Coturnix japonica: one gene and its partners. The protein of the gene in region 1 purifies or fractionates together with the protein of each later gene. This does not show direct contact. Links are inferred from orthologs where the notes say so. Each region holds a gene or a part of one and is shown in the gene's direction. Other genes may lie near its edges.

Region 1 (7,339 bases):
CTACATCCCAGCCAGGACCATGCACCCTGGATGGCTTTGGTGCAGCCGCTCTGATGCATGAGTAGCATCCTGTAAAGCCCAGACAGATCATGCTCCCTGGCTGACTCTGATGCACACACACAGCAGCCAGGAGCCATCCAGGGCTGTGCAATGCCAGCTGGAAGCTCCCTCCCTACCTGCAAAAATGGTGCTAACATCCTTAGAAGTGGTGAACAATTCATGAGACAACTCAGCCATCAGCAGAGCACCTGGGAGCAGATAACGCTTTGCTTTGTTCCTTGCAGTGCCCTCACTCCATGGACTGGCAGTTTAAAGCATTCTCCTTTAGTATGGCTGACTTCAGCCACCACCACAACCGAGCAACAGCTGCTTCCAATTCCCACTGCTTGATATGAATGCTCATAAAAAGCAACATAAGCTGTTTATAGATGCATGATTAGATTCCTAGCTTCTGTCTGTGGTATTTCTACAGCTTCCACTAGGGACAATCTGGGCATTTAATGCCTTTAAAGTGCAGTCTGTGATTGAACCTGGCAGAGGACTGTGGTGAAAGGGCACTATAGGGCACCACTTGCTGCACTTTGGGCTCGTGGCCCTGCAGTGGCATTGCATCCTGCAGAGGATCGTGCTGTTACAGATGGTAACGGAGCAGAGAGGCAAAGGATCTGCCCAAAGCCACAGAGGAAATGTGCAGCAGGGGCTGGGGGCCCCACTGGATGTGATGGTCCTACCCCAGCAAGGCACAGACTGTGCTTCTGCTGCTGCACACAGTGTGTTCCAGCCTCCAGCTCCTGTGCAGACAGGAATGATGCTATAAATTAAAAGCAAAGAGGCTCTTGCAAGCAGGCAGAGAGCAGTGGAAAAGGACAGGGAGGACTCGAGAAGAATGCAAGGGCTGATAACTCCAGCTTCTGCAGCAGCCCCCAGCATACGTCAGCCATGCTGTGCTCTGGGGATCTGCTCTGTCTCTCCAAGGCAATAAGTAGATTCAGACAGAGGCAGGTTGGAATGATGTGTACAGGAGCAGCACATACCTCTATTCTGCACTGCTGTACTCCTCTGTGCTCCCTGCATTGAGCTCGGGGTGCTGAGGGGTGGCTTCAGTCCCATTTACACAGAGCATCCACTGACCTCATCCATAGAACTGCATGGCTACAGCAGATGGAGATGTCCCAGGACAAGAGTTCAGGCTGTTGCCCTTTCACAGTTCAAACACTTCACTGGAAGCCCAAGAAGTAAGAAAAATAACCTCCCACTTTAGGGAGAGCCTGTTGCTGTATCTCCTCAGCCTGAGATAAGGCAGAGGTTCATACCAAAGATGGCCTGGGTGTCAGGAGAAGCCTGTGTGCAACAGGGAGCAGACGGAGCTTCCACCCCAGGAGCTTCATCACGCAGAGGGGCAGAGATTGGGGTGAGGATGATGATAACAGAGCGGGCTCTGATGCACACACACTCACGTCTGCACATTCCACCATCACTTATGGGAAGGTTCTGCTGCTCCTGGGGCAAAACGGCTCAGCAGTTGGATCCTTATGGGTCCCTTCCAACATGGGGTTTTCTATGATGCTGTGAAAGCAACCCGGTTGGGAGCCAGGTGTCCATCATTGCCATTCATTGGTGGTGAATCCAGATGGCGGCTGCTCAGCGGTTGTGTTCCACAGGGGTCGGTGCTGGCTCTGTCCTGCTCAGTCCCTTCATTTCTGACCTGGATGGGGGCATTGGAACAGGAACAGGCTGTGGATGCCCCATCCCTGCAGGCATTCAAGGCCAGGCTGGATGTGGCTCTGGGCAGCCTGGGCTGCTGGTTGGTGACCCTGCACATAGCAGGGGGGTGGAAATGGATGAGCACTGTGGTCCTTTGTCACAGGGACACCAGGTTTTCCACAGAGGCAAGGAAAGCTCTCCACAATCAAAGCTCCAACCTTTAAAACCTGACCCCCACACCCCCCCCCCAAAAAAAAAAAAAAAAACCCCAAAAAACCCGCTGAGCTCCAGTTAATGATCTGTGGGTCGTTAAAAAACGACTTTTTATGGTTTTATGGCAGATAAATGGATGGATTTACCACAGAGATGTGGGCCAGCGCCCTCTGTGCTCTGTGGGGGGGAACCAGGCCCCTCACCCACCACCGAGGGACGCTGAGGCTTCTTGAGTAACCCTGAAGTCCCATTTTTTGCTTAAAAAACAAAAACAAAAAGCAGTTTGTTATTATTTCGTGTTGGTACAAAGCTGTTTTCAGGCCCCCAAGCGGCCTCCAACCCCCAGATCCTGAGGGGCAACACCGCCTGCCCCGCCTCAGCGCTCGGCTCTTTCCGTCCGCACTCGGGTGTTTCCGCCAGCTGAGTCGCTTCCGTTCGGCAGCCGAGAGGGCTGTTTTCCGTCAGCGTTCGGCTCTTTCCGCCCACCTCTTCGGGTGTTTCCGGCAGTGGGTTCGGCTATTTCCGCCGGTTGCTTCGGGCGGACTCGGCTCTTGGCCCACCTCGTTCCTTCCCTCCCCGCCGCCCGCCCCGGTAACGGTCGCTGCGAGTTTAAATGAGCGGGGGCCGGGCCGCACCGCGCCGCCGCCGGGACACGCAGTGAGGCGGGGCCGGGGCCGCCCCGCTCCGGGTTTGGCGAGGAGGAGGAGCAGGAGGAGGCCGAGGGGAGCAGGATGACGGTGCTACAGGAACCCGTCCAGGTACCGACCCCCAGGCGGACGGGCTCGGGCTGCCGCCGCGCTCAGGCCCCGAGGCCCGGTCCCGGCCTAGCTCGGAGCGGCGCCGCCCGCTCTATAGGGCCATGTCTGTAGGCCGATAAGGGCCCTGTCCGCTCGGGGGCTGCTCTCGGTGTCCGTTCCTCGGTAGCTGGGCCCTGTGGCAGCTCTATGGCCCCTCCCGTGGGCTCTCAGCAGCCCCCTGCGCCTCGCAGACCAACCCCTCACCCCCCTGATCCCTCCCGGTCTCCCCGTCGCTGTGCAGGCAGCACAAGGCCGCTCTGCTCCCCGCAGCTCCCCGGGGAGACCTGTTGAACCGTCCCGCTCACCTCTTTGCTGTTGTCTCGTTTCGATACGTGCTCGGTTCCCTACGTGTTGTGCCGGTGTGAAGGACGTGCCTTGTTCCCTGTGGATGTGTCTCAGAGTTTGTATCTCTGCTCTGGGAGAGAAAACAACATAATTGTGTTTTTCTACCTTCATGTCCTACCTTGATGGGCTTCCTGCTCGTTCTCAATCATCCCATTGCAAAGATATGATTTACAGGATAAGAGCTGCCTGTTTCTTCCTACCTTTCCCCTTATGTGCATCACTCTAATTGTGTGATTTTCTGCTAATCCCATTCATGTTCTCTTTTTAGCTTCTCAGTGTATTTATTCTCCTTGTTACGTTTGGAGCTGTAGGCATCTTGGTGCTACAGAAATGCTTGGTGAACAGTCTGGCTTTGATTCTTTCTTTAAGGAAAAGAGGATGAGGAAGGAAGGACTTCTCCTGTGGAAGACCACCACCCTGCTGGCCTGACCTTGTGTGAGATGGTGGCAGCCACAGTGCTCGCATAGAGCAGGGCCTTGTGTTTGTGATGCTGCTGTTCTGTTCCTCTGAGTGTGGGACGATGTGTTGGTAGGAATGAGTTTTCTGTTGGGTCTTCAGTGGTGTTACCCGTGCACTGCTGCAACCTTTGTATTTGTGATGCTATTTTAGCAGCTGGGTCTTCTAGGAAAACATGGGGTTGTGTTAGAAAAGGGAGCAAGAATGCATTTCAAAGGGAATGACAGGAAACAATACTTAATGTTTCCACTACTCTGCTAATTAGACTAAGCTAGAAGAAAGTATTTGCTGTTCTAAAAGTTCCCTGGTAGAAATGCATGATAAAGACCTGTCTAATACTGTTCTCAAGCTTTTATCTGCTTGTGAGTTTTGGTAGGGTTTTGCTATAGTGAATGTCCCTATTTAGACTCTTCACATGCCAAATAACTCTTTAGTTAGTAATTCTGCTGCTGTTCCCTGCTTACAGCAATGCTGATAAGTTTAGGATTTGTTACTTGTTGTGGCCTTGGCTGGACTGTTGGTTTTTAAGGTAGAAAAGTTGCCAGTGCAGCCATCCAGATTAAGGCTGGCATTTGGTCCTGCCTGGATCTGCTGTTACAGGGCACAGCTGGGAGCTCTGTGCTGCAGAAGCTTTCTGTATCAGCTCACTCTTCTTTTTGCCCTGACACCGTGTCTCCAATCATCAGACTCCATTTTGCAGTACACAGCTTGAATGAAGTTAAACTGTGCTTTTGAGTTCCTCTTCTAGCTGGACTCTGTGCATTTATCTCTGATTTTCTATTTATTTGTGCTTTTTTTTTATAGTATGCATGAAATAAGCAGACATTACTTTTCACTTTGTAACTGCAGAGATGTTCTGTTTGTCATTTCATCACCAGCTCCTACAAGGCTGATATTCCAAACTCATCTTTGTAGGCAAGATACACAAAGTCTGACAGATAAATGCTGGAAATCTCTGCTTCTATGTTGCCTTAAAAGTGTAATCTTTTAATTATCTAATAAGTTATGTCCTAAAAGACATCAAGATGACCGGTTAGATTTCTTCTGGCTCATTAAATGTCACAACCTCTGGTGCTTTGACTCATTTTATGTAGACAACAGAGCACTGTTGTACTTCTTGACGTGGTCAGCTTAAAACTCTTCAGCTCAGATGTAAGGCCTTGTATCTTGTGTACATTTGGGTGCCTTCCAAATAGCTCTGAAAAACATCATGGAAATAAAGTGAAGGCTTTCCTTGGAGTTCAGCTTTTCAAGGTGATCATCTGCCGTGACCCACATGAATGATGCTTGAACTCCAAGGCTGCTGCCATGGCTGGAAGCATCCAGTACCACTACGTGTCTGATTACTTACCAGAGCCTCTATAGCTAGCAAATATAGTGGAGTCTGTCACTGGAAACTCTCTTCCCCTCTCCTCACCTTGAACAAATGTTAAAATGTGCTATAAGTGATTGCTTAGCATGTCACTACATTATTAAGCTTGAGAAGTAATTCCCAAGGCTGTGTAACTGTCAGAAGTGTGGGCTTATCCTTTGAGATTTGGGGGTTAGATATGAAGTGATGCTTGGATGGTGCCCAGGATCTTCTAGGTTGAGAATAGACATGTGTGAATTGGCTTTTATTTGCTTGCTTTTGACTCTGAGGATGCTTTGCCATAGAGCTGTAGCTGGTGTGGTAGTTTTGGGATTCCCTGTTTGCTCTGCATTTACAAATGGATGTGTGTATTCAGGAGGCTGGATGATGAGAGCCTGGACACTTAACCTCTTCTGGAAGCATGGTAAAACTCTGCAGCACATGAAGCTTCTCTCCTGTCTGTATTTGTTTGCTGCTCAGAGAGCGGACATGACAGCTACAGTGCATCAGCTGCTTATCATACACTCAAGGAGATGACTGCTTTGGGTCCTGGTGGGTGCAGTGCATGTAAAATGTAATCACTGCTGCAGAGAAGAGAGTAAGACTGGGTTGTCCTGGCCCAAAGAATTGCAGGATTAAGTAGTTTTTATTGGATAAATGCCCCCAAAGTGTTTTTGCTTTAAACCACTCTATAGCGACAGTGATGCTCCAGTCCCAAACTTGCTTCCTAAAGAATGCAGCAGCAATACTCTTTGTTGGTAGTTTGTGTAAGCTAGAGCTTTATCTTGTGCTATACCTGTAGAAAATCAGCACTGCACTGGTGTGGTTGATCTCTGCCACCTTCCTCCCCCCTCACTACCCCCATAGGCAACACATGTGAGGATCCAGCTGTCAGAATCAGCCTAATGAAGGTGCAGCTCCAACTTGCACCTTTTTAGTTGCAAAATGACTATTATTACATAAATGGATTCTGCCAGCTGGCTTGTTGCGTTCAGTGGGACTCTGCTCAGCAAGGCTTGTTCTCTGAGCCAGTGTGTAGCATACCTTGTATAACACGGCTGTGATTTAGCCAAGAATGACTTGGGTCCCCTCTCAGCCTTTGGCAGGATCTTCTGGCATCTTGCTCTTGTTTGGGAACCAGATGATACTGATTTTTGCTATTATTTTTGCCACCATTACCCCCATGCTTTGTATGTGTGCTGAGACGGTGCCTTTAACTCCAGGGCAGCTCTTGTTGGGTAGGTTGATCTGAATGCCACTTGTGGCTCACTGAAGGAAGAGCTGATTTGGAGAGCAGGAGGAAGAGGGAGACCTTGAGCTGCCCTAACCTGGAGTTAGTCTGAAAGGTTTTAACACCCTCCTTCTGTTCAGTTCTTCTCATACAACACTACCTGGGGGGCACAGCAATGCACGGCCCTGGAGCTTCTCAAGGTAAAAGCAGCAATTGCTCATGCAGACACTGGCTGAAGTTATCTGAAGCGTGGAGTACAGCTGGAGAGAAAGAACATCTTTGCATTATTATTTGCAGAGAATTAATAATTTTTACACGGGCTTAAAGTACCTGTTGATTTTAAGTGTACAGCTGAGACCTACAGACCAAAGAGAAAATACCTCTGCAGAGGTGATGTGCATATCTGTGATATCTATATGTGATATCTATATAGTGATTGGGAACTCTGCTGTGTGCTGTTCATAAAGACTGTGTAGGCTTCCCTGGAGCAGAACTCACACATTTTTTTCACACCCTGAGTTTGTCAAGTTTGTGTTGGAAGAAGCAGCATATGGTCCGTGTAACTGTTTGTGATGTTTGGGGGGGAAAATGTGAAACTGGCACTTTTCTCCTACTGGAGACAGCATTCATTAGTTCTTTCTCTCTGAGAGTTTAATCTTAGTTTTGGATGTCTGTGGTATTGGGGTCTGGGTTCTGTTCATGTTTGTAGTTGCATATAAATATAGAAGTATTAGACCACAGAGCCTTGAATTCATAAGTTTAGCTCTTGTTTGGTTCACTAATAACAAAACTGCTGCAAAATGGCAGTTTGGACTGTGGGGAAACTGCTTTGGAACTGGAGCTGCAGTCCTGGAACCAGCCTGTCTTACCTGATACACACGGACCACAGCTGGTAGTGATGGGGAGAAGGACCAAGCAGGTGTTATGAGGGATTGATTCTTTTTTCCTCCCCACCCTTTCCCTGAAGGGGTTTTCATCTGATCTGAGGAAAATCATCTGGGTGATGTAACGAAGCTGATGTACCCCAGCCCTCTCCATCCTCTTGCTGGACAGCTCTTGCTTCTAGCTCAGCTGATAGCAATGCAGTGCAAGTAATTATGGCTGCTATTCCAGTGGTGCACAGAGTTTGTGTGCCTGTATCTGCATTTGATTTGCATTTCAGTTCAGCAATGTCATCCTTAAAGGCTGAATACTGTCAGCTTTGTGCACCAAACTTTGGTGTTTGTGAGAAAGGAATATTAG
Region 2 (5,750 bases), on another chromosome or scaffold:
AGATGCCACTAATGTGTGCTTGTCCTTCTGCTTGACTCACAACTCTGCCTGTCTCCTCCTAGCACATCAACCCTGTAGCTGCTAACCTCATTCAGAAGATGCTGAGATCTGACCCTGCCACGCGCCCAACTATCAATGAGTTGCTGAACGATGAGTTCTTCACATCAGGGTACATCCCCAGCCGCCTGCCCACCAGCTGTCTCACTGTTGCACCTCGGTTTTCAATCGCTCCCAGCACACTTGAACTGAATGGGCGAAAGCCACTGACGGCACTCAACAAAGGTAAGAGGAGGCGTCTGGAAGTGAGGGCTGAGGACTGCAGCACTGGATGAGTGCCTGCCTGGCCTCTAGCAACACACAGACCCATCTGTGGGGAATATAGTGCTGCCTCACCTACTCTCCCAGTTCTCATGATAACTAGAACATATCGTGTCTGGGAGTTCTCCTTGTTCTTTGTCCAGAACCAAAGCAGGGAGCAGTTCAGCTATGAGGTGCATAATGTGTTTCTTATAACTAGGGTAGCATGTAAATTGGTGCTTTTAGAAACTTGCTGCTCATGTTTCTGCAATCTTCTCTTTTTTTTCTGGCCCAGGACCAGAAAGCCCTGCATTAGAAAACCTGCCTGAAAAGGAAGATGCAGCTGGGCTGCGGGAGGTGGGAGACAGCATTGAGTGTCACTTAGCAGACATGTTACAGCAGCTGACTGCAGTCAACTCAGCCAAACCCTCTGAGAGAACTGCAGTGAGACAAGGTGAGTCTGGGGACAATCCCACAGGCACTGACATTTTTGGACAACTTGCTTCTGTCATTGATGCCTCTTGGCTGAACTGAGGGACCAACTGACCTCAGCTTCAACCTGAAAGGCAGAAAAGCAATGTGGAAGCTACTTACCTTCCTCTTGGCCTTGCTTGCTGTGCTGCACAGCATGCCTTAAAATGTCTTCTAACAAACTCCTTTTCTCCTTGCAGAAGAAGCTGAAGACCCAGCCTGTATTCCCATCTTTTGGGTTAGCAAATGGGTGGACTACTCGGATAAGTATGGTCTAGGTAAATAACATGATGGCAGTACTTCAGCCTTTTCTAGCTCCTAAAGCAGCTGGTAGAAGTCCTGATCTGTGCTCAGTGTAGATTTAGTTCTTAAATCATGATCAGTGTTTGCATTCAAGAGTATCACCGGGAGCACCATCAAACACTAAGTGAACACAGAGTAATGGCCACTGAATATCTACCCTGGCCACATTAAGGATGCAGGCAGCAGGACCCTGTGGATCCAAAGTGGCTAATGTGTGTACTCAGTGTAGGAGTTGAAGTTGCTTATGCAGCAGATAATGCAGCAAAGGAGGGTGACAAACCCAGAGGAGAAAAAAGTGCCATCTCGACCTCTGTTAAAAGGAGGATCTTTAAAATTGATGAGGTGGCCTCCAGGGATCCCCTAGATGATCCAGCTCTGTATTTCATGTAACCAAGGGTCCCATGTGTGTGAAGGTCTGACAGGCTTTTTTTTCAACCAGGTTATCAATTATGTGACAACAGTGTTGGAGTTCTCTTCAATGACTCCACTCGTCTCATTATGTACAATGATGGGGACAGCTTGCAGTACATTGAGCAAAACAACACCGAGTCCTACTTCACTGTGAGATCCTGCCCCTCTGCCTTGAATAAGAAGGTCAGTCCAGAGGACAGGAGCCCTTGGTGGTGGGTGGCTGTTCCTGATGAGATTTCTGCAGGTCTCGTTGAGCTTTGCTATCAGGGTGGACAGTGGGGGGGGGGAAACATCTGTTACTGGGAGTCGCATTCAGCAGGATTCCTCTTGGCTGGTAAAATGTGACCCAAAAGAGAGTTCCTGGCAGCATCTTGCTTTTTTCTAGTTGCTAACTGAAGCTCATTTCTGAGCAGCTTCACATAAATAAACTCTCATGAAGCTGACATGTGCTGAAGCATTCAGCAAAATGAGTCTTGTACTCAGACAGTGAAGTTAACTCTGGTGGTGCTTGAGAACTTGCACCAGTTTGTGCAGTGACCCCTTAAGCTCTGAAAGACATAAGTCTCAATTTGTGGTAACAGCTCCTACTCTCCCCAGATATCAGGGCTCATCCTCAGCCTGTCTGTTGACAGCCTGTTCTATTTGCAGATAACACTATTGAAATACTTCAGGAACTACATGAGCGAGCACTTGCTGAAGGCAGGTGCTAACATTACACCTCGGGAAGGAGACGAGCTGGCACGTTTACCCTACCTCTGCACGTGGTTCCGGACCCGCAGTGCCATCATCCTGCACCTCAGCAATGGCACCGTGCAGATCAACTTCTTCCAGGTGAGGCTGTTGTACTGACTTGCTGCATTCAGTGCTTTGTGGTAAGGTGGTGATTCCTGCAGGCAGTTACAACCTGAGCTGAAGCTTTGCCCTGTGAACGTAGCACTAGAAGGCTCCTTGCTCTGCTTGCTGGTATTTAAGCCATCCAGCCATTCCTAGCTCATCTAGTAGTTGTTTCCTTTAGCATGAACTTGTTTCCCTTTGCTTCACTCTATGAGTAAGAGCTTTCTTGTTGCGGCTTTTCTGCAGTGTTGTGCTTTGTCAGCATGCTGCTGGCCTGCAGTTGGGGTGACCTTGCTGTGTTGGTTCATCCGAAGGAGTGAAAAACATTGCAGAGCAATGTGCTGACCTTGTGTTCCCTCCCCCACAGGACCACACCAAAGTCATTTTGTGCCCTCTAATGGCTGCTGTCACATATATAGATGAGAAACGGGACTTCCGCACATACAAGCTGAGCCTCATTGAAGAGCATGGATGTTGCAAGGAGCTGGCCAGCCGACTACGCTATGCTCGCACCATGGTGGAGAAACTCCTCAGTTCAAAATCTGGCTCAGCCCGTGTGAAATCCTCCGTTTAGGCTTTGGTCTTGATGGAACCAACATCTGTGCCAAACCGGCTCAGCTGTGGACAGGGAAGTTTATTAGCATCCCTTGTACTGTAACTTGCCATCACACAGCTGGGTTCCTGCTTCTGGGTACACTCTGATTGCCCCCAGGGAGCCCCTGATGCTGTGGTGATGGTGCTGTGTTCACTGTGAGTGGTGCACAAAGGGGTTTCTTGCTCTTCCCAATACAAAGTGTTTTTTTAAAATTACTTATATAGTCTTTTTTTTTCCCCATCCCCTTAACTTTTCAAAGCCTAAAGCCTGACTCAAACACCAACCCTCTTGTTGGAGGTTCCTGGGCCTTCTAATGAGATAAAGCGTGGGGTTCTCCCCAGAACGATCATGTAAGTTTTGTACATGTCTGTGCATGATGCTCTGGACTTTGTTTCCTTTTGTCACAGTACAACTAATGTATTTAACCTGCCCAGGTTGAGACTGAGCAATCTGCATTTTAATACTGAACTTGTTCTACATGCAAACTAAACTTTTGTATATTGTATAACTTGATTAAAGATTGTTCTTGGGAGTGTCCAGCCTCTCTTGGTTCCTTGACAGGGAGGCAGCAGCATGTTACTTGTAGATTCCTCGTGACCTATCATCTCCACCAGCTCTTCCCACCAGCTGCTGGCTGAGCTCAGCCTTGGATTTGCTCTTTGGCAATGCCAAAAAGAAAATAGAGAAGAGCCTTGGGGCTTATTGCAGGAGGAAAGCAGTTCTATGCCTCCCCTTTTCTGTTTGATCAGAGCCTTTGATTATGTTTCATGTTGTAAGTACTTTGCTAACACTGTAGTCATGCTGGACTGCTGCAATAGTCTAGTGCTGATGGCTGGCATCTGCTGCTGTTGTACAAGTCTGGTTTAAAGCAAGACAAGCTTTTTTTTTAATTATTATTATTTTGTAACATTCTGTATAAAATGTTCTTGGCCATACAGTGTTCTGAAGATAAACCAGGTACAAATGCCTTGTTACCTACAGTAACAAGATCCCATATTCCAGCAAAAAGAGGAATGGGTCTGCACAAACCCAGCTTGCTATCAGCACTGTGATGGGGACTTCAAGCCTCCCCCTAGGCCTGGCATGTCCTCCTAGTCCCGCTGCAAAGAGGGAGGCTGAAGCCCTGTGACAGATGCTGAGCACTGATTTGTGTGCTGTCAGCTGGGGATAAAGACTGTGTCCAGGGTCAGCACTGTGCGATCAGTCCTTCTGCTCCCATCTCTGTGTTAAGCGTGCAGACAGCTGCTTCCCTAAGAGGAACCTTGGGAACGAGGCTGCTGATCTGAGGAGCAACCTGTGGGCTCCAGCTGCTCCCAGGAAAGTGGTTTTGTTTTCCTTCCTTCCCTGACCTCTCAAAATACCGCATCTGCAGTAGAGAATTTTTACTCTCTGGTCTTCAAGCTCCTATGTCTGGACCCCAAGGCTCTGCAAAGGCAGAAGCCCCGTGGGTCTGGCAGACCCTACATGCACCACAAGGTGCCCATGTCCTCATCTCATCCTGTCCAACTCTGGGGAGAGAAGGATGCCAGAAGGTTCCGGGGCCATCCAGGAGGATTGCTGTGGCTGAGTCCCATACAGGTAAGCCCCAAAGGTCAATAATCTGGCAGCCTGGGCTATGAGGAGCGGTGCTGCAACCACGCTGACCCTGCTCACCTCCCTGTGCCCCCCAGCTCAGGGCTATAGTAGGGGTGGAAGAGCCGCTCATGGGCGCAGAGCTGCATGGCACCATGTGTGTGCAGCAGCAGCCGGGGGAAGCGGGAGGTGAAGTACTGCACGAAGCCATCGGGGACGGGGCCCAGCGCCTCACGGACCTCAGCAGGCAGCTCATGGTAGTGGTGCTTCTGCAGGAGAAGGGGGATGTGAGGGATGGCAGTGCAGTGTGGGTGGGGGGGGTGGGTGGGATGTACCTTGTTCCTCATGGCACGCAGCAGGTCACGCACTGAGCTGCCCTTGTAGGTGCGGAACTTGCGCAGGTCTGTGGGGAGAGCAGATAAGAGGGTGCTGGGAGCACAGCCCCACAGCCATGGGGTTCTGCTCTGCGTGCCTCCATCACCTCCAGTGTCTGACCATGGGGCTATCTGACACCCGGAATGTTCCATTCCCTGTATATTCCTGCTTCTTACCCATCTGCAGCGGCAGGGAGATGTGCATCCTCCAGTTTGTCCTCACCACAGCACGACCACCCGCCTCCAGGGCTGTCACCAGGGCCCCCTCAGCTGGCTCCTTCTCCACGCGGTCACTGACATCCTGCACCACGCAGTGGGGATGTGTGAGATGTGAGGAAGAAATTCATTGCCCGCACTGTAACGCAGTGCATGGCACACACCTGGAAGAACTGCAGCTGCTTCTCTGCGCTCCAGAAGAAGGGGTGCATGAGGACAGCAGGGGCTGAGGGTCGCCTCTGGGGTTCACTGCTGAGCATGGATGTGATCAGCTCCCTGGCCACGACCTTGTCTGGTGCACGGAACAGAAGAGAGCAGTGGTAGCACGAGGAAGATGGGCACAGGGCTCAGTGCAGGGACGGCACTGCAGGCACCCACTGCAGCCTCACCGTGCACATCCTCCTGCAGGCAGGGCAGCTGGCAGGCACCTGCCAGGATGTTGGCCTGGCGCCGCAGGCTGTCCCCAAAGGGGTGCTGTCCTCCTGACACCACGTAGTAGAAAACACAGCCAGCAGAGAAGATGTCCACTGCGCATGTCTGCAAGACACAGGCAGGAGATGGGCCCCTCACAGCCCACAGCAGCTTCTCCATTCTGTGATGGAGCATATGCCAGACAAACTCAGCAGAGCAGTTGCTGCCCTTGCGCCCACATGAGCTGACCCAAGCACAAGGCAACC
Region 3 (6,605 bases), on another chromosome or scaffold:
ATGGGAGTGTGGCAATGATGATATCGGATTGGTCAACTGCCAGTTCAAAGCCATTCTCAGTGTCAGTGTTAAACTCTAAGTATATGTTGAAGTACTTATTTTTTAAAATTTGACCAAAAAATTTGACTTGAGTAGTTTACAAAGAAAAACACCCAAATGGAAATAGCTAAAATATCAGTGTCCATCTGGTGGAAGTCTAGCTTCTTCTGGCTAAAGACAGAAAGAGACATGGGAGGCTTCAAAGTAAAAATGAATTAACTTTGATAAACTGCTCTAGAATTTAAACAATAAGCAAAGTTGTATGTAAAAATCAAAGTCCTTAAACTGGGGATTTCTTGGAAAGTAGCAGATAACCATGAATGTGCTCAGCTATAATGATGGAAAACAAGGCCTACCTGATGAGGAAGCTCTTACCATATGTAAAGTAAGAAAGTAGGAGATAATACAAGAATGGTGGTATAATAGATAGCCAAAGGTTATCTATAGGAGAAACTCACCAATTCTGAGATCTTCAATCTAGATGAAAAATGCTGAGGCTGGTCACCCAAGCTCCACAAAGGAACTATCTCCAAAAAGAGATGCTGTTGTTGTGGTCATCAGCCCTTAAATGAACCCCTTCCGGAAGCACAGCTGAATCACCTTCACCTGTGCTCCCACAGCTGACCTGACACTTGCCTCAGCTGGTTAATCAGAGGTTCAGGCTGTGATTACCAATTTCCTATACACCGTAGTAGTTCACTGCATATAATATATTGCATATTTTTTTCTTTCTTTTTTTTTAAATGGTCTTGTGTTATAAATCAGCTTAGCTGTTTATCTGACTAATCAGATGGTAGTTTCCTTTTAATAAGACTCGTCAGGATAATAAACTGAAGTTGGGTTTAGTATTCACCTAAGGCTCTTAAAAGAGCTCATATTTCAGTGTTCCCTAAATGGAGAGGTCTATACTGTAACATAGTTATGCACAATGTGCACAGGAAGTTACTGAGGTGTGATATAGGTACCTTTGTATTACTGATGTTGACCTGCCTGAGGGTAGGGAGGCCCTATATAGAGGGATCTAGGTAATCTATATCACTGGGCTTAGGTGAATTGGATGAAATTCAACAAGGCCAAGTGCTGGGTCCTGCACTTTGGCCACAATAACCCCATGCAGCACTGTAGGCTTGGGGCTGAGTGGCTGGATGACTGTGAAGAAGAAAGGGACCTGGGGGTATTGGTTAATGCTCAGCTGAACGTGAGCTGACAGTGTGCCCAGGTGGCTAAGAGGGCCAACAACATCCTAACTTGTATTAGATAGTATTAAATAGTGTGTCTGGCAGGAGCAGGGAGGTAATCATCCCCCTGTACTCAGCAATGGTGAGGCTGCACCTTGAGTATTGTGTTCAGTTTTGGGCCCCTCACTACAAGAAAGATGTTGAGGCCCTGGAACATGTCCAGAGAAGGGCAACAAAACTAGTGAGGGGTCTGGAGCACAAGTCTTATGAAGGGTGGCTGAGGGAGCTGGGGTTGTTCAGTCTGGAGAAGAGGAGGCTCAGGGGACACCTTGTTGCACTCTACAACTTCCTGAAGGGAGGTTGTGATGAGGGGGGTTTGGCCTCTACTCCCAGGCAACAAACAGGACCCAAGGACTGGCCTCAAGCTGTAGCAGAGGAGGTTTAGGTTAGACATAAGGAAAGACTTATTTTCTCTCAAAGAGTGGTCAGGCACTGGAATGGCTGCCCAGGGAAGTGGTGGAGTCACCTTCCCTGGCAGTGTTCATGAGGCTTCAGGATGAGGAGCTACAAGATATGGTTTAGTGGCTTGTGGTAGAGACGGTAATGGGAGTATGGCTGGACTGGATGATCTTGTAGGTCCTTTCTATTCTTGTGATTCTATGATTGTGTGTTCTGGTTATTTCATGATATATATCTGGTTATATCATGATTATTTGTTAATCTCTGAGGAGTTACCTCCCCTTCCATTTTTCAGCTTTACTCAGAAATAGTTTGGATGATAGCAATTGAATTTACGTTTTTGTTTGAAGGTTAATGTACAACTTCAGATAACTTTTGCTAAGTCTTCCATAATTGGGTGAGATTTTCTGTTAGGTTGAGCTATTGAAGCTGTTGCTTTTGGCTTCCTTATCTTTTGTGAAGTTGCAGTTGTAGAACACAGCTCGTAAGAGCACTCTCAACTTTGCCCTGAGCAAAATCAGGTAGTTCACTTACACCCAGCTAATTACTTTGTCTAATTCAGTTTAATTTGCCTGGTATGAAATATGAGTGTTTTTGTATGTGCGATGTTAGCATATAAGTGAGAAGGGTCCAACAAACAAGCTTTGGTAACAAGTTACTGAGTCACTAGTACTAGTAGTAGGGAATTTATTCATCTGTCTATTCTGTTGTACCTTAGAGGTACTATCTCTGGGAGAAGCTGGGTTTTGATGCTTAATTTAGGATTTATTGTGTTTATCTAGACGGGAGTATGGAATAAACTGAGTCTATATGTGAGCAGTTCTATGTTTCTAGGTGAGTCTGTATAAGACAAGCTTCAGATTCATTCTTTACATAATGCTGTTCTGGAGTGAAGGCTTATTTTCAGAGTGGAGATCTAGAAAATGGACTTGCTCTGAAAGCTGCATCACAAGGAATGAGGAAGAAACAGCTTCTTAAGCCATTAACCCAGTGATTGAGGATTTAAAGTGAAAATTTAAATTGCTTGGATAGTCTTTGGATTTGTTGAATCTCCCTTTGTTTTAAAGTAGTTTACAATTATAGCTTTGCAGAAATCAAGCAGCTAATATATTTTAGAAGTTGTGTGTCACTTTGTGCCTGTCCTAGATATCTCTCTGGCTGTAAATCTTTTAAAATTGTATAAAATATATGTCTAGATTTATAATAGATAATGTTATTAATATATATTGATATTAGATTACTGCAGATGTATTTCTTTCTAAATGGTTAGAAGTGCTTAATGGAACCTGTTGTACAGTCTGAATAATTCTAACTAATTTACCTACAGCGTCAGGTATACAAGTGTCTGGACTTCAGAGTGTAGTTGGAAATCAGAGAAATATAAAAAGGAACGATTCTACTGAAAATTCTTCTGCTGTTGCTAAACTTCTTGGGTAATGACTTGATTTCTTATTTAATTTCTTAAAGCATTTATGAAAGAAAACCATTTGCTACTGTTTGTTTTTTTGGTGTTTTATTTTTCTTTTTGCTTTCAGGGACGAGAAATCACAAGAACTTGATGCTGTTGTTAACTTCCACAATCCATTAAGACCACTAAACAAATCTAACCAGGTATAACATGAATTATTTTCTTTCAAAATATTAAAATTTTAAAACTTTATGCATTTAATAACTTGTGATTTACTCCTAGGCCTGCCCTTTTGGGAGGGTTCCTGTTAAACTAGTAAATGATTTTGATGACGTGGTGCAGAAGATGGATGTCCCTCATACAGCTAGTGTTATGAAAAGGTATAGTTGCTTGGTTTTGCTGCAGTGCAGCAGATTTTCATTCTCCTTTTCAATAGGGATTTGTTTTTCTTATAAGACGGTGGGAATATAAAGTGTTAATGTTAAAAATTTAAGATTGACAAATAATCATAATTGTGATTAGATATTAAACATCTTTTTAACTTAATACTGAGATTGTATAGCAGCATGGATCAGTTCCTTGTTCTAGCAAATCAATGGCCTCAATAGAGAGGCACAGACTAAAAGATAATTTCTGTTAAAAGTAACTTGAGATTTTTATATTCTAGTTCCAAAAATTGTTTTATTTTCCAGAATAATTTTAAATGCTCTTTTAGCAGTACTGCTATAATTTTTCATAACAATGGAGATCTCCTGATGTATATGTTCGTTGTTCTATTATGAAAGTGAATATGCTCATTTTAATGTAACTGCTTAGCAGCAGAAGGATCTGCCAACTTAAACACCACATTGTTATGTCTGTCCAAGAGCTAGAAACTTACTTTGAAGCCTATTGTTTGCTAGCTGTACTTTTTTACCTGTCGTAGTAGAAGACAACCAATTAGTCATCTGTCACTTCATGAGATTATGGTGGCACTGTTAAACACTTCTGTACAGTTTCTCACTTGGCTATCAGTGGACCCTTTTTCCTATGGTTTTTGAAATTCACACAACTGTCTCTATCTGTATTACAAAAGGCAACTGTTATATGTTTGCATGTTATAAAACTAACAATATTTTTTCAGTAGGCAAATATCTAGCTCCAAATGTACAGCCTTGATTCCACCTTTTCCACTCTCTGAACCAAAACTTAGTGAGAATGATTCGTGTGACCTGGCAGACTCAAAGGTAATATAAACATTTTTCAGATGGACAGAATGAACCCTAGATGGTTGTCCGATGTTGTTAGAAAAATGATAACGCTTCAAGTCTGATTAAGTAATAAAATAGAATTGCTCTGTTAAGCAATCAATTGTGAACAGAAATATTCACTGCAGCTTTCAGAATTTAAAAGCATTATGTGTGATCAGGTGTTAAGAAAAAGCTCTCTGTAAATCCATTGGGAGAAATAGCACAGGGTGAGGGGGATTTAAAAATCCTTCATATAATTTATAAATAGGAAATGAGATTACATCTTGACTACAAGACTCTTTCAGCTGTAGTCAGGATTTTTTGTCTTGGGAAGTATTGTATTTCCATTATGCTAATTCACTGAAGTCTGTTAAATGATTTAAGGAGCAGTAAATCATGGCTTTTGATGGAGTATAATTTTGAGATGTGTCTTGCATTTTTGTCTTGTCCTTCCAGAAAGAAAACATTTGGTCTTTGTTAAAGAAATTGTGTGGTGGCAATTGAGTGTGTTAATGGATTTAAAAGCAGGATCGGTAATATTTCTGTGTATCCTGCTCTTTTGTTAAATTATTTGTTCTATGGTACGCTGGTCATTTCTTATCAGATGGAAATGTCTTTTGGGCACTATACTTGGGAACCATTTTACTTTTCAACATGCTTTTTGTTTTCTTAGTTATTACAAGAAAAAAGTTCTGCGCAGCTGTTAGAAGAGAGCAGCTCAGAAACGGCTACCCATTCAACTGTCACTCTGAAGAACAAAATAGATACAAGTCTTGTGATGAAAAGAGAAGGTAACTTATTAATGTGATGTTCTAGAATGTTGGAATTAAATAAATATTGAGAAATTGCTGTTCTGTGTTTTAAACATAGACTGTTGAAGAAAACATTATTCAGAATTGGAGAAAAGGATCTGCTTGGAGTTTAAGAGCAATTAATTAAAATGAGTTATGAGTGGTATCTGTGGAAGTGCTGAAAATGAACAGTTGTTGCAGGTCTAAAGTCAAATATCTTGTGTGTGGATGACTGGGCTTGAGGATAAAATGCCCACGTGTAGTGCTAATTCACTATATACCTAATTTTATTGTAAACAAAAAGTAAATAGGTATTAAAATAACATCAGTATAGGGTTTCAAGTTATGACTTGCCAGCCTGAGCATGGAAAAATGCTGCCAGCAGAAGTGATAGTTTATACAGGAAAAGTGTATGCTGACTGACAGCAATTCCAACTGTGGATTAAAATATTCATCGAGTGTTGTCTGTTTAGGCTTTATTTTGGCACTCAAATCATACTAGCTTGCTTTCCTTGTGTGTGCTTGTAGTTTGTCATGTGGATGCCGTAGCTCTAATTACTTGTGTTGAAGTTTATTCTAAGATGCCTTATCCGAAGTAAGCTTTAAAAAAATCACTGCAATTATTTACTTTCTTTTAGGTCACCGGGGAAAAAAACCCAACCCAATCAATGTCTTTTACCATTCTTTCCATATGCTCAGTTAACTCAGATTTATGATCTCATACTGCTGGAATCCTTGGTTCATTTGAATGGCAATTATACTAAATAAAGACATTGAGTCAGAAGTCATCCAACTTCTGCTTAGTATATCCTTTCTAGTTACATGAATCTAAGACTGCACAAGCAATCGGAGGACCACTCTTAAGCTATGCTATTTACAGCCTACTTACAGCAGCGGGTTTGCGTTATATTTTAGTAATACTCTAACTTTCTTTAAACAGTTGCCATGTTACTACAGTGAGCTGAATATTAACCCTGAAGATTACACTAATGCCTTGCAAACAACAGTTTCTGTAAAAGATGTTGGGTTCCAGTAAATCAATGATTCTCATTTATTCTGATGTAGAAAATGAAGGGAAATGTATCTAGAAATTGAGGTAAATTACCAGGAACTATTTCAAGTACTGAATATTAAGTATTTTTAATTTTCTGATTTATTCAGAAAATAAATTCCAGTGTCAAGAGCTGAAGATACCAGAACCAAGGAGCCTGGAAAGTCGACAGCAACAGTCCAGTTCTTCTGAAAGCTATAGAAAGCAATTTGATCAGATAAAACTGAACTGTCCTAACTCCCGAAAAAAATGGCCAAGCCAAGAAGTGATGCAGCAAAACTGCTATAGAGAGGTGAGGTAACAGGAATATGTGATGGCTTCCTACCTGGAGCTACTTTCACATATTGTGAAAAATGATTTCTTTAATGGTGGCTTCTTGTGTGGAATAATACGTTTACTTTCTTTAGGGAAAGCGGTCAAGTCTTGAGCAGTCTGGTCATCCCATTTCAA
Region 4 (5,456 bases), on another chromosome or scaffold:
AAACTTAATCTATATACACTAGAATGTAGCAGGACTCAGCTAGTTGGACTGCACAGAGCTTAAATTGTTTCTGTTCTTTTATCACTGATTACAATTTAAAAGCTAAAAAGAAACATTTCATGCCTTCCTTCTCTTGAGAGCTTCCATTGATAGAAGAAATGAACTGAAAGAAGATTAGTGCAGTGGATGTACAGGTTCTTCTTGTCATACTTAAAACACTTGTCCATTTTTGGATGTCACAATGCTGGGGTTTCCAGTTGTACTATGTAAATAAAAAGATGTACATTTTACATTTGGACTCAAGAGTCAATATTAATTTTATAATACATACATAGTAGGTTATAGTGATCTCTACTCAGAACGGAAGGGAGGGACGGCATGCTGGAGGGAGGGCAAAGTTGTGACCTTTTCTTAGTGAGGACTCCTTTCTAATACTTGCAGATCAATATGATGCTGGCAAATCTATACAAGAAAGCAGGTCAAGAACGCTCCTCTGTTACAAGCTACAAGGAAGTACTGAGGCAGTGCCCGTTAGCACTTGATGCCATACTAGGTAGGTTTCTCCACGCTGTTAAGTACATCAATCCTAAGAAGCATTATAATTTGAAGCATGGTTGGGACTAGGTAATTGACTGCCATCTCTAGGTAATATCTGATGCAGATGTATTTAATGCAAACTATAAATTCGTGACAAATTGTTTGTGCTTCCTTGTCTTCAGATAATTTGTAGCAACGGTGATTGAAATTGTTCTGTATGATTTTGAATACCTCTGTGAACAGGTTTGCTGTCGCTGTCAGTGAAGGGTGCAGAAGTGGCCTCTATGACAATAAATATCATTCAGAGCATTCCAAACTTGGACTGGCTTTCAGTGTGGATCAAGGCATATGCGTTTGTGCATACTGGAGATAACACTAGAGCCATCAATACAATTTGGTAAGATTTGGAAGAGTGTGATGTAATCAAATGCCATAAAATATTTCTTCAATGACATTTTATAATATCATTACACATTAACAACAGCAATTTGTTTCTCTTAAAGCTCTTTAGAGAAAAAGTCACTGCTGAGGGATAATGTAGATCTACTGGGGAGCTTAGCAGACCTGTATTTCAGAGCTGGAGATAATAAAAACTCTATTCTAAAATTTGAACAAGCTCAAATGCTGGATCCTTACCTAATAAAAGGTGAGTAAATCATAGTGGAAAATTTACCTAGTATAATGTTCTGCTAAATTAAGTTAGAGTAGCAAGCAAATATTGTCTCTCAAACTTTTCACTGTAGGAATGGATGTGTATGGCTATTTGTTGGCACGGGAAGGTCGACTGGAGGATGTAGAAAACTTAGGCTGCCGTCTCTTCAATATTTCAGATCAACACGCAGAACCCTGGGTAGTGTCTGGGTAAGATGCTCTCTTTCCTTTCTTACCCTTGATTTGCTGAGTGTAGTCCATTACAGCTGATAGAGTGAGATCAGCTTTTTTGTCCTGTTTTGGAAGTAACTTGAACTAGTCAGGAGTACCTATTTTGGTTGGTTTCTTTAAGACTAAACTGGTTTGAATGACTAAACCTTTGCAATAGCAATGATGTGTTAAATAGCTGTGATGGTTAATGGTGTTCTCTTGTTTGTTTGTTTTCCAGAGGTGTTTGGGGAGGTGTTTGTTTGTTTGTTTTTACACAAACTTTTATTTTTAACTTAAAATGTAGAAGGTTCAGCAGTTACTTGTAACCTGTTCCTTCCCTCTTTTAAGTCTCTGTGAGTGTACACAGGCAGTACATGTTTACAATCCATCTTGTCTTTCCATAGGTGTCATAGTTTTTATAGTAAACGATACTCCCGTGCCTTATATTTAGGAGCCAAAGCTATCCAGCTTAATAGCAACAGTGTTCAAGCTCTGTTGCTGAAGGGAGCTGCCCTCAGGAATATGGGCCGAGTACAGGAAGCAATCATACACTTCCGTGAAGCGATACGTCTTGCACCTTGCAGGTTGGATTGCTATGAGGGTGAGTGAAACAAAGCTCCTCAGACTGCATTGGTGCAGTGTTAACGGCTCTTATTGAGAAAGAATAGACAAGCTCTTTTCCCCTGTTGACTTTCTAACATGTAAAGTTATTTTTACCCAAAAAACTATAGTGCTGGTAGAAGTAGTCAGACAGGAGATACTAGAGAATGCATGTGTTTATAAGAAGCATTTTCAAATTGTTTGTTTTTAAGTGGTTTAATCTGAGTGTAAACAGACCCGGGTGTTTTGAGCAGATCAGTTTTGGATGATGACATTCAGTGTATGGTTAGTCATACCAGGAGCCTCATTTTGACATACTGTCTCCTAAGCATGAGCAGAGTTTGATGGTAAATAGTTAAGGAGAAATACTTGGGGGGAGTATGCATTTTTTTGTGGAGTTAAAAGTTCTCTTAGCAGAATAAAACCCTCAATATTAAATAAAAATGGACAATAGTGCTTCCAACATACTGTATATTGGCAGTCTTAGGAATTGCTTGTAGAATATTTCAACTGCTGGCAACAGGTATCATCTGGATATACCAAATGAAACTGAAACGCTTTTCTTTCTTATTATCAGGTCTCATTGAATGTTACCTGGCATCTAACAGTATCCGGGAAGCTATGGTTATGGCAAATAACGTGTATAAAACTCTGGGAGCAAATGCACAGACGCTCACTCTGTTAGCAACAGTCTGCCTTGAAGACCCAGTCACACAGGAGAAAGCAAAAACATTACTGGACAAAGCACTGACACAAAGACCTGATTACATTAAAGCTGTGGTAAAGAAAGCAGAACTTCTTAGTAAGTTTCTTTTTTCATGTCAGCTTTCTTAAAACTTACTCTTTCATATACAGGAGCGTTCTGTGGCCTCATCAGTGCAAATAACATGACAGGGATGTTGCACCACAGGGATCTGTCAGTTCTGTTTGGAAGGAAAAAGCATGGGAATTAATTATACCTAGCAACTGACGTTATGGCAGCACTTAAAGCCACTGTATACAAAATGTTTTGCATTCAAAGTATATGATGTGTTAATGTGTGTAGCAGTTATTGCTTACAAAAAGCGTATTGCTGCCATCCTTCATGCCAACAGCTCCAAGAGAAGAAATGCTTTTGTGTTGTGGTAGCCCTTGGAGTACAGTCTGCTTACACAGTTATCTAAACTATTAATTAAAACTGTAGTTTTGCAAATAAACAGGTAGAGAGCAGAAGTATGAAGATGGAATTGCTTTGCTGAGGAATGCACTGGCTAATCAGAGTGACTGTGTTCTGCATCGAATACTGGGAGACTTCCTTGTAGCTGTCAATGAGTACCAGGAAGCAATGGACCAGTACAGTATTGCCCTAAGGTAAGCATGAGGGCTGAGACTGTATCGTACACATAGAATTGAATAACCAACCAAGTAAAAAATTGAGTGCCAGGGCACTGGTTGATTAGGGCATGCATCAAGGGTAGCTTCACATCATTCTTCCTCAAAGCAGACAAACGTATACATCGCATTCTGATAATGAATTAGTTGGTCACAGGGCTTTGTGCCAAGGAGTGCAAAATATAGGGATTGTATTAACTGCAGACACATTGCTGGACATGGAGTTCCTTGGCTACTGAAGTGATTGAGGCATGGATGTATTTATAACTAATAATTATACAGGCAGGATTCTTGGGAGCTGTTCCATTAGAGCAGGAGATGATATATAAACAGGAGCTACTGTGTAAATTTAAATAGGTAATAAAGAACCATGATGTTACCTTCTGAAGTTAAATGTTTCTATATTTGTGACATTACCATAAAGATAAGAAAAATAAGTCTTAAGGCAATACTTACTTTTCTTCTCTTTCCCCTCAGCTTGGATCCAAATGATCAGAAGTCACTAGAAGGAATGCAGAAAATGGAAAAAGAGGAAAGTCCAACAGATGCAACCCAGGAAGAAGATGTGGATGATATGGAGGGAAGTGGAGAAGAGGGGGACTTGGAAGGCAGTGACAGTGAGGCAGCCCAGTGGGCAGATCAAGAGCAGTGGTTTGGCATGCAGTGATGGCTGCTCTCCCCAGTGCTTGATTTGGCACATGAGAACATCAGTAGGGCCATTCCTTTCTGAACTCTGATCTTTGCAGGAACTGAAGACTCTTTTTTATCTTTTTTTTTTTTTTTTTTTTTAATTTAATAGAACTATTAAATGGTTTCAGTCTATGCATCTCAGTGCCATGAAGATTCTTGATGCTTCTTATTTATTAAGCATAAGAGATTAACTGCAGTTAATCAAACCAAAAGCATTAGAATCTAAGGTTTCTGTAAGCCTGCTGTTTATGATGAAAGCTGTCGTGTTGAGGGCTAAGTGTGCTTTATCAATTTGTAAATAGTATTTTGGTATATGCCTTTGTAAAAAAGGTCTTCTTCCCTTGTTTGTAAGCAGCGATTTGGGCTCACACTCCTGATGAAGTCTGGAGGAGTCACTTGGCTGTGGCTGAAAGCAGCACTTCTTACTCGCTGTGTTGGTTTAATTACTGTCTTTTTACAAGGCATTGCATGTGGTGTAAAGAAGTTTGGCACCCCAGGCAGCTTTGAGCTAGAGGACACTTTTGTAGCTGATTGATTTCTATGTGTACAGAGTCAAACCAGCCCTTATTAAACCTTATAATCTGTCTGTACATAAACATTTTTAAATGCAGTTGAGTTTTACTTCAGTGTGTTACTAAAGGCTTTTACAGCAGTGACTCAAAGCACTTCATGTTCTGCATACAGGAGGTATAAGAATTCATCCTATTCCACTTGCTTCTCTGCAAAAACGTACAAATATATATCAGCTTGTTTTTGTCATATATATACTTTTTGTCAGATAGTATTTGAATTCACGTTATCATTTCAACACCATCTCTTTGAGGGTGATCTTTGTTTCAGTTCTGTGGGCTCAGTGTGTAGGAGGAGGAATTACTTTGTGCTGTTACATTTCTTACCATTCTGTTTTCCTTACTATTTCCTTAAACATCTCTTTACATTGCCAGTTTAATCTCTTTCACATTTATCCTGTACCCGCAGTTATGCTGGAGCAGATGGACCTTAATGCAGGGCTAAAAAGCAGTTCAGCATAGCAGCTAACAGAGGAATACCTACTTGTACAAATACCTGACACAGAGAACAGGCGTCCCCTAGCTGTAGAAGTACAGCACCAATAAGGGTAAAAGCTCTTCTGTGATGTGCTATATGAATTACAAGAACACACAGCAGATCAATCCTCTTACAGACCGTTATTGAAGTACCTCGCTATGTCACATTCTTAGAAAGGAAACTAGTATTTTAGCACTTAAAAACAAGCAGAAGAGCTGAGTATCTCTTCTCTCTGGAATCCTGAGGGCTTTAAACTTTCCAAAGTATTAAATGGAGTTCTGCTTGGTTGAAGATTCTGTGGGAGGAACAGAAAAGCCCATGCTGCTGTCTTGGTGGTTGAACTGGCATAA
Region 5 (6,133 bases), on another chromosome or scaffold:
TCCCTGGGGCTCAGCTCAGCCTCACTTACTGAGCAAAGGGTCCTAAGGGAGGGGATGGGATGGTGGATCCCAGGCAGGAGCTCTGAGGGAGCCCTCGGCTGTGTGGGTATGGCACCTTATGGGAGGAACACGGGTGTGCAGCCAGGTGTGACGCTTCCCAGTTGCGTAGGTCCCGGATCAGCCCCAAATGGGAGAAAACCGAGAGTCTGAAGTCACGGTGAAACTCGGTGATGTCAGGCCCTGGCAGGACGTGTGGCTCACTGCGCTCTTGCAGCACTTTCACCCTGGCTGCTCATGGCTGACGTGTGCCTCTCCCCGCCACCAGCTTCCGCCCCGGCACAGCCGCACTTGCACAACCTGCGTGGGGATGGGGAAGAACATTGGGATGGTGGCACTTGGCTGCGCCTGTGACTCACCCTGTGCCCAGCCCCAGTGAGACACTTTCCTGTGTCGCAGCAGAATGGGGGTAGCTTGGTGTCCCCAGGTCCCAGCCCAGTGTGGAGGGCTCACCTCCCCACCCCAGCTTTGAGCCGGTAATTCGCTGGTTTGGGCCCCACGGCCAAACGCATTTGAAGGTCCAGGAAATCAGTGGCACTCAGTTGCCTCCCGCAGTGCAGGAGCCCCTGAGCTCGACCCCTGCCCCACGCCTTGCCGAGGCCCCATTGGCTCAGTGCCCCGGGGAGAATGGAGCTGGGAGGGGCTGGCTTTCAAGTGTGGAGCTGGAAAAACAGGTTGTGCACGGCCGGGCGCAGAGGGGGAGATGGGGAGAGGGGGAGAGGGGGAGCTTAGCAGCGGTGCGGGGCCGGGTGCTGTGCACGGTGCGCTCCGCCGGCCAAGTGCCAGGAGCCGGGTACCCGCAGGGATGGGGCACCTCCCCACTGCGAGCACACGGTGCGGGAGCGCCCGGCGTGCCCCAGCACAGCCCTGCACAGCCGGTATCACCGGCTGGCCCGCCTGGGTTGGCATCGCCCCGCAGGGAGCGCGGCACGGCGGTGGGCGAGCAGCCCCCGGCCCAGCTCTGCCATTACCTCCCCCTCGATGTTGTCTCTGAATTCCTGGGCTGCCTGCAGGCTGATGTAACACGGGACGCTGGGACAGGTCCCGGCAGTGACGGCCGCCCCTGGGGAGCCCAGCTCCGTGCTTCCCAGCCCGGGCACATTGCTGGGCCATGGCGGTACCCCGCGTGCTGTACGGCCATGTGGGAGCCAAGGCTGTGCGGGTCAGGGGGACCCCGGCTGAGTGCTGCCGGCTCAAACAAAACATCCCCAGACAAAGGAGCGTTTGTTCTGGCAGCTCCAGCCATGCGGCCCAGCCTCATGTGATGCTGCTGCTCGCTGCTGAGCTGCGCGGTCCCCCCCAGGCTGTCCTCAGCCCTGGTATGCTGGTCCCTGCTGTGAGCACTGCCAGACCTGCATGGCCTGTGCTGGAGCTCACACTGTGACCCAGCAGGGTGACTCCGGGGTGTCATCTGTCCCAAAAGAACCCCAAGCAGCAGAGGGGATGGAGCTCTGTATGGATACCTGGGCAGCAGGGGTGCCCCAGCTGCTGTCTCACGCCCTTGGGTGCACCTTCCCCACTGCACAGACTCATATCCCAGTTGGCTGCTGGGGTGGCCACGTGCCAGCGGATCTGAGCCAGACACAGCCCTTGTTTTGATTTGAAAAGCAGCCGGAGCAGCAGCACAGCACCCTCAGCCCACAGCCACGGGCAGGGCAGCAGTGGTGTGCCACACGTTGTGCCATGGAGGCATGTTCTGTATGGATGCACCATGCCCACATGGCAAAGATGGAGAACACTGAGGTTGGGTATTAGGAGGAATTTCTTTGGAAGAGTGGCAGTGTGTTGGTATGGGCTGCACAGGGGGTGGTGGAGTCAGCGTCCATGGGGGAGTTCAAGGACTGTGGGGATGTGGCACCAAGGGATGCGGTTATGGGCATGGTGGGGTGGGTGGGGGATGTCTGCAGTGTTTCCCAGCCTGGATGGTTCTGTGATGGTACAGTGGATCACGCACAGGCTGCATTGCACACACTGCAGTGCACAGGGGTGCTCTGTGCCTGGGCTCTCTTGTGCATGCAGTGGTGCATGGGGATGCTCTGTGCATGGTGGGGTGACCCTGCCCACGCTTTCCCCTGCCCGCAGTGAGCTTTGCAGCCTGCAGCGGGCGGCCGTGGGCCGTGTATGTCCCGTCTGACACGCGCTTCAAGGTGAACATGGAAGGCGTCGTCTCAACAAAACGGCCACTGACGCTCCATGGGAGGGAGATCAGCTTCATCATCTACGCACGGGATGCCACGGGCAAGAGGCACTCAGCACGGGTGACTGTGGGCAGGCACAGGCACCGCCGCCACTACCACCACCAACACCTGCAGGTGAAGTCCCCATGGTCATTGCAGCCCAACTGTTTCGGGCCAAGAGCAGCAGGTGCCTCTGGGCTGCTCTGTGCTGCCACAGGCACCAGGATGAGCTGCTGTTCCTGCAGGACATGACACCGTCTGTGCTGACCTTCCCCGAGCATGACTCCGGCTTCCTCCGGAGGCAGAAGAGGGACTGGGTCATCCCCCCCATCAGCTGCCTGGAGAACCACCGGGGCCCCTACCCCATGAGGCTGGTGCAGGTACGGGGCCGAGGGCTGAGCGTGGTGTCACTGGGACGGGCACCAGCCCCTGGGTGTCCCCTCTCAGCACCCTGCCTCGCCGCCAGATCAAATCCAACAAGGACAAGGAGTCCAAGGTGTACTACAGCATCACGGGGCAGGGCGCGGACAGCCCGCCCGTGGGCATCTTCATCATCGAGCGTGAGACGGGGTGGCTGGAGGTGACGGAGCAGCTGGACCGGGAGAAGATCGATCGCTACACCGTGAGTGGGGGCCGTGGGGCGGGCGGGGCCGTGCGGGGCCGTGGGGCTGACGGTGCCCCCCCCTGCAGCTCTTCTCCCACGCCGTGTCAGCCAGCGGGCAGCCCGTGGAGGACCCCATGGAGATCATCATCACGGTGATGGACCAGAACGACAACAAGCCCGTGTTCGTCAAGGAGGTCTTTGTTGGCTACATCGAGGAGAACGCCAAGCCAGGTGTGGGGGCTGGCGGGCGGGCGGGGGGCCGGGAGCCCCGGGATGGAGCGGTGCCGGGGGCGGCGGTGCCGCGTCCCACCAGTGACGTCTGCCCGGCTCTTGGCTCTGCCCAGGCACCTCCGTGATGACCGTGAACGCCACGGATGCGGACGATGCGGTGAACACGGACAACGGCATCGTCAGCTACTCCATCGTCAGCCAGCAGCCGCCCAGCCCGCACCCCCAGATGTTCACCATCGACCCAGCCAAGGGCGTCATCAGCGTGCTGGGCACAGGGCTGGACCGGGAGGTGGGTGCTCTGCTTTGCGCCCCACGGTGGGTACAGACCCGCACACAGAGGGGCGCTCTGTGGGGTGCTCTGTGGGAACGCGGGGCCTCTGATGCTGTGACCTCATCTTGCAGACCACTCCCAACTACACGCTGATTGTCCAGGCCACCGACCAGGAGGGCAAGGGTCTGTCCAACACCGCCACGGCCATCATTGAGGTCACGGATGCCAACGACAACATTCCCGTCTTCAACCCCACCATGGTACGTGCTCCCCCACCCTGGCTGGCTCTCCCCAGCTGCTGCCCTCCCCAGGCTGCCCATGTGTGACCATCCCTGTGCCCTCTGTGCAGTACGAGGGGGTGGTGGAAGAGAACAAGCCGGGTATGGAGGTGGCCAGGCTGACGGTGACGGACCAAGACGCACCAGGCTCCCCAGCCTGGCAAGCCGTTTACCACATCAAGAGTGGGGACCAGGATGGTGCCTTCAGCATTACCACCGACCCCAGGACCAACAATGGCATCCTGAGGACAGCCAAGGTGGGTCACGTCCCTGCCAGTGGCCCCAGAGTGGGTCATGTCCCCATCGGCCCCACTACCACCTCAACCCTTCACCCCACCCTGCAGGGCCTGGATTATGAGACCAAGAGCCGCTATGACCTGGTGGTGACGGTGGAGAACAAAGTGCCCCTGTCTGTGCCCATCACACTCTCCTCCGCCAGCGTCCTGGTGACTGTCTTGGACGTGAATGAGCCCCCTGTCTTCATGCCCCCTGTCAAGAGGGTGGAGGTACCAGAGGACCTACCAGTGGGGCACGAGGTTACATCCTACACGGCCAAAGACCCCGACAGGGACATGAGACAGAAAATCACGTGAGTGGGGGCTTGGCTGGCAGAGAGAGAGCATGGGGTGGGCGTTGAGCTCCCCCTGACCGCTCCCTCTGCCCAGGTACCGCATGGGCAGCGACCCAGCAGGCTGGCTGGCCATTGACGCCCAGAACGGCATCGTCACGGCCACCCAACCGCTGGACCGTGAGTCGGTGCACGCCATCAACAGTACATACAAGGCCATCATCCTGGCTGTGGACAATGGTGAGGCTGTGCCCCCGCTGCAGGCAGATGGAAGCTCTGGGGATGTGGTCTCTTTGCCTCGCTAACGTCTGGCTTTGTAGGGGTGCCGGATAGCACCGGTACGGGGACGCTGCTGCTGCTCCTCCAGGATGTGAATGACAACGGGCCCACCCCAGAGCCACGGTCCTTTGAGATCTGCAGCCGGCAGCCTGAGAAGCAGGTGCTGAGCATTGTCGACAAGGACCTGCCCCCACATACCTACCCCTTCACAGTAGCACTGGAGCATGGTTCCAGCAACAACTGGACTGTCAGTATAATAAGCCAAGGTAAGTGCTGTGGGGTGTGGGACACTGAGCAAGGGCCAGATCCCAGCTACTTCTTCCTGTGCTACCCTGAATGCCACCAGCACTGAGCTGCTGCTGCTTTCATGATGGGGAGCTGCCATGGAGCAGAGCCCTGATAGTGTCTCCACACTTGGGGACGACTCTGAGCCCAGTTCCCTCTCTCTTGCACAAGATGAGCTGGCCGTGGGCCTGAAAAAGGAGCTGGAGCCGGGCGAGTACAGCATCTTTGTGAAGCTGACGGACGGCCAGGGCAAGACACAGGTGACACAGGTCAAAGCCCAGGTGTGTGAGTGTGAAGGGACAGCCAAGAACTGCGAGCGGAGGTCATACATCGTCGGTGGGCTGGGTGTCCCTGCCATCCTGGGCATCCTGGGGGGCATCCTGGCCCTGCTGAGTGAGTATGGTGTGATGGGGAAGTGGATGGGGCTGCTTTCCCCTCGCAGCGCTGACGCCATGCCCTGTGCTCGCAGTCCTGCTGTTGCTGCTGCTGCTCTTTGCCCGGCGACGCAAAGTGGAGAAGGAGCCGCTGCTGCCGCCTGAGGATGACATGAGGGACAATGTCTACAACTACGATGAGGAGGGCGGCGGCGAGGAGGACCAGGTGGGACCAGGGTGCCAGATCTCAGTGCTGCCCGTGGGATCCTTGCAGCACTGTTCCTATGGCAGGTGGCCCACAGGGGGGTTGCCATAACCATGAGGGATGTTTGGAGTGTGCAAAGCAGTGCCTGCAGCCATCCCTCCAGTGTCATGTTGCTGTTCTCTCTGCTCCATCCCCACGCAGGACTACGACCTGAGCCAGCTGCACCGCGGCCTGGACGCCCGCCCCGAGGTGATCCGCAATGACGTGGCCCCCCCGCTGATGGCCGCCCCCCAGTACCGGCCCCGGCCCGCCAACCCCGATGAGATCGGAAACTTCATCGATGAGGTGAGCCCCGACCGTCTGCGCCGGCACTGCTGGGCTGACCACAGCGTCCCCATCCCATAGGGCTGAGGCCGGGGGGGAGCAGCGGGTGAGCCCTTCCTCTGCCCTCCCTTACAGAACCTGAAGGCGGCTGACACGGACCCCACGGCCCCCCCCTACGACTCGCTGCTGGTGTTCGACTACGAGGGCGGAGGGTCGGAGGCCACCTCGCTCAGCTCCCTCAACTCCTCCGCCTCCGACCAGGACCAGGACTACGACTACCTCAACGAGTGGGGCAACCGCTTCAAGAAGCTGGCGGAGCTCTATGGCGGTGGGGAGGATGATGACTAGGCAGCCCTCGTCCCCTTGGCTGTCCCGCCACATGACTCTTGCCATTTCACCCCCTCGGACGTGCACTGGGTGTTGCAGCCAAAGCCCCCTCCAACAATATTGGATCCACCACTCGCATCCCTCCCCTTTGGT

The links. The genes of interacting proteins can lie anywhere in the genome.
Region 2: the proteins of CDC27 (region 1) and PLK1 purify together in Homo sapiens (affinity purification with mass spectrometry; 4 studies listed by BioGRID and IntAct, with this or other methods). This does not show direct contact. The link is inferred for Coturnix japonica from reciprocal best matches to the Homo sapiens genes CDC27 and PLK1.
Region 3: the proteins of CDC27 (region 1) and TTK purify together in Homo sapiens (affinity purification with western blotting; 3 studies listed by BioGRID). This does not show direct contact. The link is inferred for Coturnix japonica from reciprocal best matches to the Homo sapiens genes CDC27 and TTK.
Region 4: the proteins of CDC27 (region 1) and ANAPC7 purify together in Homo sapiens (affinity purification with western blotting; 23 studies listed by BioGRID and IntAct, with this or other methods). This does not show direct contact. The link is inferred for Coturnix japonica from reciprocal best matches to the Homo sapiens genes CDC27 and ANAPC7.
Region 5: the proteins of CDC27 (region 1) and cadherin-1 purify together in Homo sapiens (affinity purification with western blotting; 4 studies listed by BioGRID and IntAct, with this or other methods). This does not show direct contact. The link is inferred for Coturnix japonica from reciprocal best matches to the Homo sapiens genes CDC27 and CDH1.

What each region holds. Positions count from the first base shown.
Region 1 is NC_029542.1:2,283,447-2,290,785, forward strand, and holds the start of CDC27 (cell division cycle protein 27 homolog), read left to right. Parts: upstream 1-2,417; 5' UTR 2,418-2,648; coding exon 2,649-2,675; intron 2,676-7,339. UniProt on the Homo sapiens protein: Component of the anaphase promoting complex/cyclosome (APC/C), a cell cycle-regulated E3 ubiquitin ligase that controls progression through mitosis and the G1 phase of the cell cycle.
Region 2 is NC_029529.1:6,812,736-6,818,485, forward strand, and holds the end of PLK1 (serine/threonine-protein kinase PLK1), read left to right. Parts: intron 1-62; coding exon 63-282; intron 283-592; coding exon 593-751; intron 752-968; coding exon 969-1,046; intron 1,047-1,510; coding exon 1,511-1,665; intron 1,666-2,130; coding exon 2,131-2,313; intron 2,314-2,683; coding exon 2,684-2,890; 3' UTR 2,891-3,448; downstream 3,449-5,750. Other genes in the region: ERN2 (serine/threonine-protein kinase/endoribonuclease IRE2), read right to left, coding at 4,561-4,752, 4,819-4,886, 5,035-5,158, 5,238-5,365, 5,463-5,610. UniProt on the Homo sapiens protein: Serine/threonine-protein kinase that performs several important functions throughout M phase of the cell cycle, including the regulation of centrosome maturation and spindle assembly, the removal of cohesins from chromosome arms, the inactivation of anaphase-promoting complex/cyclosome (APC/C) inhibitors, and the regulation of mitotic exit and cytokinesis.
Region 3 is NC_029518.1:72,241,255-72,247,859, reverse strand, and holds part of TTK (dual specificity protein kinase TTK), read left to right. Parts: intron 1-3,003; coding exon 3,004-3,109; intron 3,110-3,211; coding exon 3,212-3,287; intron 3,288-3,366; coding exon 3,367-3,464; intron 3,465-4,207; coding exon 4,208-4,310; intron 4,311-4,986; coding exon 4,987-5,104; intron 5,105-6,265; coding exon 6,266-6,447; intron 6,448-6,562; coding exon 6,563-6,605.
Region 4 is NC_029530.1:4,520,491-4,525,946, forward strand, and holds part of ANAPC7 (anaphase-promoting complex subunit 7), read left to right. Parts: intron 1-441; coding exon 442-553; intron 554-780; coding exon 781-934; intron 935-1,040; coding exon 1,041-1,183; intron 1,184-1,280; coding exon 1,281-1,398; intron 1,399-1,802; coding exon 1,803-1,999; intron 2,000-2,575; coding exon 2,576-2,800; intron 2,801-3,197; coding exon 3,198-3,348; intron 3,349-3,846; coding exon 3,847-4,036; 3' UTR 4,037-5,456. UniProt on the Homo sapiens protein: Component of the anaphase promoting complex/cyclosome (APC/C), a cell cycle-regulated E3 ubiquitin ligase that controls progression through mitosis and the G1 phase of the cell cycle.
Region 5 is NC_029526.1:16,828,375-16,834,507, forward strand, and holds part of cadherin-1, read left to right. Parts: intron 1-2,139; coding exon 2,140-2,369; intron 2,370-2,479; coding exon 2,480-2,614; intron 2,615-2,700; coding exon 2,701-2,856; intron 2,857-2,924; coding exon 2,925-3,069; intron 3,070-3,182; coding exon 3,183-3,358; intron 3,359-3,471; coding exon 3,472-3,600; intron 3,601-3,689; coding exon 3,690-4,207; intron 4,208-4,283; coding exon 4,284-4,426; intron 4,427-4,506; coding exon 4,507-4,731; intron 4,732-4,921; coding exon 4,922-5,143; intron 5,144-5,219; coding exon 5,220-5,350; intron 5,351-5,530; coding exon 5,531-5,674; intron 5,675-5,788; coding exon 5,789-6,001; 3' UTR 6,002-6,133.